Linked DNA regions of Coturnix japonica. The protein of the gene in region 2 interacts with the protein of the main gene of each other region in a biochemical or structural test. Links are inferred from orthologs where the notes say so. Each region holds a gene or a part of one and is shown on either strand. Other genes may lie near its edges. The genes, in order: KIN and METTL22.

Region 1 (3,816 bases), on a different chromosome or scaffold from region 2:
AGAATCTAAGCAGAGTAAACTTTTCTAAACTATGGGAGCTTGCATAATATGCTGTTTAGTTTTGCCTTCTGTAAACCAAAGATTTCAAGGTAAATCAGTCCTTTCTTGTACCCAGTTCTTTCTTGTGTCCTCTATTGATTGCACACCTGATCAGTGTTGATGGTCTCTCTTTGTCCCAGGGTCCTTAATACATATGTTAAATAAGATGCATTTTAATACTGACACCTGGGAATCCCATAGTAACCTCACAGGTTTTCCTTCTTTTAATGTAGGCTTTAATTATGTCCTAAGCTACAAGATAGCCCATTTTGCTTCATATATTTGAAATAAATATTTAAAACAAATGTGGAGATCTTACTTGCAGACTTGTTTTTGTCTTTACCACTTAAGTCCCTTAATCACCTCTTGGCTTTTGAACTGATGAACTGACCATTAGATTGTTTTTGTTCTGCTGGACATCTGGAGAACATGGAATTTTCACTTCAGTTCCAGCTGCCAAGCACAGTCTTAGAAAAGGAGTGATGTAAGGTCTGGAAGGTGACTTGCACAACTGAAATCAAATAGATCAATAGGCCTTTTTGTACAACCAGTTCTTCAAATGCATCTTGGTAGAGGAGACAATTTGAGGTCTGCTCTGAAACTGCCATCTTACTCTCCCAGCAGTGTCCTTGGACCAAGCGCACTGAAGATGGCGGAAGGAGCAGTTAAAAGAAAAGAATCAGCTCACAGCTCTGGTCAATCCAAAGAGAAGAAGAAGAAATCTGCACTGGATGAGATTATGGAGGTAACAGTTATGCAAGGATCTTTGTCTTTATAACCCCATGCTTGTAGCAGTGAGTCTACTTTGAAATGATCTCAGACCTTCAGTTCTTGTGGAATTCAGACTTCAATGTCATGTCGGGCAAAATTATATCACTTCCCATTTAAGATTGGTTTCTGCTTCTCATCTGTGCCTATTGCCTTGACAATCCAGATGTTGGAAGTAAAGGAATACAGATTTTGCAAGAGAAAAAAATACCTAGAATCGCTTGACAAAAATAAACATGAATCTCCCATCATTTTATCGTGGATTCATATATCATGAATCATACATCATGAGATCTGAGATATCATGATATCTCAGATATTATGAGATTTTATCAATCTCATCAGATTGATTTCTATGCTGAGAACACACACTCAGCAACCCTTCTTGGTTTTTTTTTCCCTACTTGGTATGGATCTGGATAATTTGTTCAGATTTTTGCAGGCATGGGAAGGCTGCAGTGAAGGGAGAAAACGAATGATGCTTATTTGTTCCTCTTCTGTAGCTTGAAGAAGAGAAGAAAAGAACATCTCGAACAGACTACTGGTTACAGCCAGTAAGTATCTTTAAACAATAACACTTACAGGTACAACCAATTCTGCATGTCTACACTTGCTTATGTAAAAGATCCTGCTTCTGTATTTTGGAACGTTAATCTTTATTTTTGTTTCCCTCCTTTCAAATTGTCTAGGAAATCATTGTAAAAATTGTCACGAAGAAGCTTGGAGAGAAGTATCACAAGAAGAAGGCAGTTGTTAAGGTAAAGTTTGCAAATGGAAGCATGTGGCTTTGGTTGGATTTTATGGTACCAGATGATTTCCAGAGTCAGAATTGTGCTCAGCCTTAAGTCTACATTGATAAGAGCAATAATGTAACTTTACTGGCACGTTCTTTGTGTGTATGCTTTTGTCCTGTACATCTTATCCTATTAACATATCCATAATGGGGAATAATCACTTTTTCAACGTGATGCGGTGTAGTTGTATTTTAAGTTGAGACTAATCAGTGTTGCACAAATATTCACTCTGCATACTGCCCTTTGAGCAAGATCCCATTTGTGTACAAAATCTTCACTCTGTAAGCCTTGTTATATGTTTAGAAGTGGTTTCTTTTAGCTGCTGCCAGTGAAATGATGTTGTAGTAGGTACTCCAAGGCTCAACAGTCTTTGGCAAGAGTGCAGAAGACAACATCTAGGTGTGTTTTGAATGGCTGACAGCAGCGTATGGAACTCAAAATCACAGCTTTTTTTTTGGCAAGAAGAGAAGGTTATGAGTCCCAGTGTCTGTCTTCCACTGAGCTGTAAATCTGGGAGTTTGGACATGCTGGGTGTAAAGATGATCAGTGACAGTTTTCCTCATTGAGAGGACTTATTCCAATTCTCCCTGTGTGACTTCAAGCCAGTTTATCCTCCCAAGAGGAAAAGAGGCCTCTAATTTACTCTCCGAATTTGAGAGGTAGCTAAGATAACTGATCTGAAGGTTGACAAAACCTCCAGACAGCACTAATAACATCAGTGGTCTTAATTTACAAAGGAGATTGGTTGTGGTTTTTTTAAGAGGAGCCCCTTTAATCTGGCCTTAACTTCAGAGTCGGGTCAGCCAGCACTTTGTGGAAGCTGGATGCCTTTAGGGCAGCTCATTCCTTTTGAAAATGTACAAGCATAGACTGAAGATCCTGAATTTGTTAATTTTGAAAATGTAAATTTAGAGAATTATTATAGAATTATTATATATTATTATAGTCACTGATTGGCCTCTTCTTTTCACAACAGGAGGTGATCGACAAATATACAGCAGTTGTGAAAATGATTGATTCTGGAGACAAACTGAAGCTTGATCAGACACACCTGGAAACTGTAATACCAGCACCAGGTATGGCTGTTTGTGTTCCTTACTTTTCAGCATAGCTGTCACAGCATAATTTAAGTTCTTTTAAACTGTAAAACATCCACTTGAAACTACCTTAACAGTAGCTGAACATTCAGGGTATCAATTAACAGAGGACTGTCTGCATAGAGAGAAATAAGATGTAGGATCTTGTGATTTTTCATCAGACATGCTACATTCTGCACCTTCAGCTGGTGAATAGCCATTTGATGGTGGAATAATGGTACAGTTGAGCTTTGCCCACACTTAGAATAGAACTGATGCCCTGTGGAACTGCTTATGTGAGATAAGAGGAAGAAAGAAGGCACACTGAGCAATTAGGATATGGAATAGGACATGAGGGAAGTGACTTTGACTTCTTTGACACTTTCCCACATGACATCCTGGTAGCCATATTGGAGAAAAATGGATTTGATGATGGGCTGCTCACTGGATAAGGGATTGGCTGAATGGCTGCTCGGAGAGTTGCAGTCAATGGCTCAGTGTCCAAGGAGAGACTGGTGATGAGTGGTATTCATATCTGTGCAGGGTCTGATGCTTTTTAACATCTTTGTGAACAGTATTGAGTATTGGTATTGAGTGCACCCTCAACAAGTTTGGACAGGCTGAGAGAACTTGTCTCTTCAACCTGGAGAAGAGAATACTCCAGGGGGGCTTTATAGTGGCCTTCCGGTACCTGAAGCTGTTCCCTACCGGTTCCCTACAGGGAAGCTGGAGAGGAACTTTTAGAATGGCAGGTAGAGACAGGATGAGGGGAAATGGCTTTAAACTGGAAGAGGGTAGATTTAGACTAGATATTAGGAAGAAATTCTTTACTGTGAGGGTGGTTAGACACTGGAACAGGTTGCCCAGTGAGGCTGTGGATGCCTCCTCCCTGGAAGTATTCAAGGCCAGGCTGGATGGGGCTTTGAGCAGCCTCTTCTGGAGGGAAATGTCCCTGCCTATATCAGGTGGTTGGATCTTAAGGGACCCTTCCAACCCAAACCATTCTATGATTCTGTGATTCCTTCCCTGCTGTAGTTTGAGTGGCTTCTGCTATAGCACCAGCATGGCCTAGAGTGGTAAACTTCATTGCGCTTTATAAATGGGCAGGCTGTGAGGCGGAGCTGGGAATCACTTGCTGG
Region 2 (4,454 bases):
AAGCACAACACACAAGCAGCAAGACAATAGAAGGCACAATACATACTTGTTTGCCAGCATCTTCTAAGGGGGTTGCCATAGTATGCTCTGTGAAAATGGAAGAGAGTACTGTTTCAAACATGGTTCAGATCAAGTTCCATAATAGTAAATTTGAAAAGCCAATTAATGCTTCCCTTTTAAATCTAGAACTGAGCACTATTAATTCTACACAGTAATGCTGGATAATGGTGAAAACCCAATTCTAATTAAGGAAAACCATTTCTCCACAATATCCAAATGTCCACTTTTGAAGAAAAACTGCTTTTAAAGCACTTAACAATATCACAGTATTATTATGGTTTACTATCTACTTTGACTTACCAAGTTCTCTTTCAATTAAAAGACCAACTCAGTTTTCTTTTGTTTTACTTGAGCACCTATTTATTCAATTTCTCCTTGAACGTAAGCCTACTATTTACCTATTTTAATAACACTGCTGTAAGTACATTCTTGTTCTTCATCTTCAAAAGCATTTGCTTTTCCTTTCATCAGAATTACAGGATATACTCTATCCCTCATAAGATCCTCTGCCTCTGAGTCACTGGCACTTTGAGGCCTCCTGACCACTTCCAAGTCTCCATCCTCATCCAGCAGAGCTTCTATTCCTTCAGTATTCAATTCTTTTTCACATTTCAGATTCATCCCGTCCTCGTTAGGTAGTTCATCTCCACGTCCGTACTGGTGTTCTCTTTCAGTTGTAGTTTCTCCTCTGTATTTCTCAGAGGCCTGATCATCTGTGTTCCAAAGGAGTTTGAAACATGACAGGAACACTGCAAGAACAAGGAGTGGGAGGAGGGTAAAGCTAAAGATCAATGCTAGGGAAGAACAGACTCTATATGCAAACATCACTTGCATGACATTTGATGTGCATTTCACATACCGAAGTGTATGGTGGCAGACCACTGCTGGATTTTTTAGAGTAAAAGCTGTCATACTACAATCCAGCCCTGGTATGGGAAATTTGTTTATTTTTTAAGACTATGGACACTCAGATTATATAAAACACATCGTTATATTATTGTGTTGAAAGGTTGTGTCGAGTCACAGCAAGTGAATGCTAAGCAGTATGACAATGTACCACAGCATTAATTACCTGATTTTGGCCTGATTGAGGTCATAATTAGATCCACCCCTTCCCAGACCTCAAAGGAGGGTTAAGACGATACAAATACATTAGAGTGCAATTAAAACACAGCTCCATCAGTCTAAACATGCATTACCTGGCTGTCCAACTGCATTCAGTCGTACCATGAGATGACTTTTGTTGGGACAGTGCAAGTGCACATCAGAAAGGACGGCGTCGCTTTTGAACGTGCCACTATCCATTTCCTTCTCCGTGATGTCTCCCATGGTACGTCAGTGAGAGGGACACCTATGGGGGCAGCTGCCATCACCAGGCAGCCCGCTGTGAAGCACAGCCGCCATGGAGACTGCTCAGCACGACCTCAGGGTGCAGAATCTGAGGCCTCAGTCACATAAGCTCCACCGTGCCCTGATGAGATACCAGGTTGTGTGTAGGGGTCTCCAACCTACAAGCAAACACAGACAGCTTTCAGCTCGCTAACACTACCCTGTGGTGAGGAACCAGGTTACACCAACAAAGCTACAGTGCTTCAGAGCTCCCTTTTACAATGCTCCTACAGTTACAGTTCAACCCGGACACTACATGCTCCAGGAAGGCACACTGCTCATTAATTTGTGTTAAAAGCAACCAACCATCCCGTGACAAAGCAGAGAACACCCAGACACAGCCCTGCAGTGGGTGAGGGCAGAGCACAGCCTGGGCACAGGCTCCCTCAGAAACCAACGCCATGAATGCAGCTTAGTTCCATATATTTTGTACTAATACTGGCTCCTCCCGAAGATAAATTGGCTCCTCTCACACACCCACCAGGAGTTCTCTATTTTTCTCCCCAAAAACAAACAACCCTCCTCGCTGCCCCGTGCCCGCGGCTCCAAGGCGCAGACAAAAATTTCCTCTACAGACACACACACACACACAAAAAAGCCACATTTATTCCCCCGAACATCCTGAGAAACGCGTTTTAAACACGAGGGCACCGCAGCCGTGAGGACAACGCTACGCCTCACACGCACTGACCCAGAGGCACAGCTCGGAGCGGCCCCTCACACACACACAGCCGCCATCTTGGAGCCCGCAGCCCCTTCCGGCGCGCGGCTGACGCGCCCGTCCCGCCCATCCGTCCCTCAGAGCGGCCCCGGCCTCAAGGGCCGCCTCAGTGCACACTCATAAGCTTTAGGATTAATTTCCCCATTCACAGTCTTGGCTTTGCAATCAGACCTTAAAATAACTGCATTTTGTTGAAAGATACTCCAAACTCTGGTTGCTGATTATATTCAATTCAAAGTACGTTCTGATCCGATGCTTTGGAACAGGTAGCATGGAAGCTGAAGAGCCTGCGGTGGCTGCTCTAATGTGTTTACTGACCCTTTCCCTATGCCCAAAATCTCACTACAGCAATCTATTTTGTAACAGTAATAAAAACGGGGGTTTAAAACAATGGCTCTGGGTCACATTATAATGATATAGACAAAGGAAAAAAGATATTTCTTGGTTTCAGATTAAAAGAGCAGCTATCAGAAAGGCCACAGGAGATCATCAAGGAACTAAGTGTAACAATAAAAAGCAGCTTAATATCTTGTTTTTCACATATTTTATGTGTGTGCAGGCAGATTGTTGCTCTTGTTGAGCGCAGAGCAGGTGCTGCTATGGGCACACATGTATGCATTCTTTTAATACTTTGATATCTATCGCCATACATTGCCATACTGAATTAATATCTTACAACACTGACAGATATTTATCACAGAATGACCTGGGTTGGAAGGGACCTCAAGGATCATGTAGTTCCAACCCCCCTGCTTAGCAGGGCCACCAAACATACACATTTACTAGATCAGGTTGCCCAGGGCCCCGTCCAACCTGGTCTTGAACACCTCCAAGGATGGGGCATCCATTTATCCTCCCAATCCATTTGTGATCTGGCTGATAGTGGTTACCCTTCCACTCAAAAGTGTTACAGCCTTTAGGAATCACATGTCCAGGCAGCACCAAGTGCCTCTGTTTAAATTGCTTTACCAAAACGACTTAGTATTCTTTGCATACAGCAGGGAACTAAATTAGAACTAATTGTTTCGAGCCTAATGCCCTAAGCGCAGTGCCCTTGGATGCTCAGGTTATTCTGCTCTTTTTATTACAGACACATTAAATCAGAATGAAAAGTGAGAGCAATAAGCTGAGGTTCATCTGATTGCAGTGCTCTGAATGCACCGTGTATTTCTGCAATAATGGAAACTATGATTAGCATCCGCTGCTATGCAAAGTGCTTTGAACTTGGGATGAATAAAAAGGCTGTTGATGTAGATGAACCATCAGTGGAGAACTTTGTTTTGCTATCCAAGCACACGACACCTGGCCAACAGGTTGAAAATTCCTGAATCACTGAGGTTGAAAAGTTCACGAGAGGAGTAAATGAACTATAAGTTAAAAGGGCAAGTGCAGCTGTTGGCTTCTGTGTCTCTATACTTACTGAATATCCACTTTTTTCCCAGGGGAAGCTTGTCTCACCAGCAAGAAAACCGAATTAAAGGCACCGACAGCATTGCAGAGCTGAACCCACACTGACTGCTTTTTCATTAACTATTTTGTGCTTGTTTATCGGAAACATTCACACTCTGATTATAGAATTTTTCTTCTCCAGAAGAGAGCAGACAATGACTGTGTAATGACTGGGCGTTACTTAGCGTTCCCCTGGGGAGCCTGGGATGAGATCTGAGCAAGCAAACAGAATGAGACTCCCTATGGAGCGCCCATGCGAACCGCCCGGGAGCTGCGCTGCTGCCTGCGGGCATCGCTTCATCCCGCACCACCCTTCCCATCAGTGTGCATCTCCTACCGCGGTCCAGCATGAGGGTGAGCCTGAGTGTCTTGTCGCTGCTTGTGGCTCTGGTGGGAGCCTCCAGCTTCGTTTTCCTCGTGGTGGCCATCGCGACGGACTTCTGGTACATCATCGATGCCTCCCGCCTGGAGACGGCCGCCAATGGCACTGCCGCGCTCAGCTCGCACTCGGGGCTCTGGCGGACCTGCCGGCGTGAGTGGGGCGGTGGGGGGCGGTGGGAGTGGGTCCCTTACCGTGCTGTTGCTGTCCTCTCTGCTGTCCGTAGCCGGGGGCTGCCCGCCCCACCCGGCTCTCCCTCCATCCACGGAGGATGCCCAACGCCTGACTCCTGCTACTGGGTACGAGCAGAGCGAGTTTGCTGCTCTCGCAAAGTACTTTGGCATTAACTTTTAATTCAGACCAATTGAATAAGCGTTAAACAGTTAGAAGGGAAGAGATCAGATTTCATCTGGCACAGGGGAAATTAAGGGGCGGAAGTCCGGTGGGATTAGAGCT

The links.
Region 1: of the proteins of METTL22 (region 2) and KIN, one has a biochemical effect on the other in vitro, tested with the Homo sapiens proteins (2 studies listed by BioGRID). The link is inferred for Coturnix japonica from reciprocal best matches to the Homo sapiens genes METTL22 and KIN.

What each region holds. Positions count from the first base shown.
Region 1 is NC_029516.1:3,680,991-3,684,806, reverse strand, and holds part of KIN (DNA/RNA-binding protein KIN17), read left to right. Parts: intron 1-660; coding exon 661-784; intron 785-1,310; coding exon 1,311-1,361; intron 1,362-1,496; coding exon 1,497-1,565; intron 1,566-2,577; coding exon 2,578-2,677; intron 2,678-3,816. UniProt on the Homo sapiens protein: Involved in DNA replication and the cellular response to DNA damage. May participate in DNA replication factories and create a bridge between DNA replication and repair mediated by high molecular weight complexes.
Region 2 is NC_029529.1:9,455,232-9,459,685, forward strand, and holds the start of METTL22 (methyltransferase-like protein 22), read right to left. Parts: upstream 2,853-4,454; 5' UTR 2,141-2,852; intron 1,569-2,140; 5' UTR 1,390-1,568; coding exon 1,260-1,389; intron 810-1,259; coding exon 459-809; intron 88-458; coding exon 47-87; intron 1-46. Other genes in the region: TMEM114 (transmembrane protein 114), read left to right, coding at 3,968-4,151. UniProt on the Homo sapiens protein: Protein N-lysine methyltransferase. Trimethylates KIN at Lys-135 (in vitro).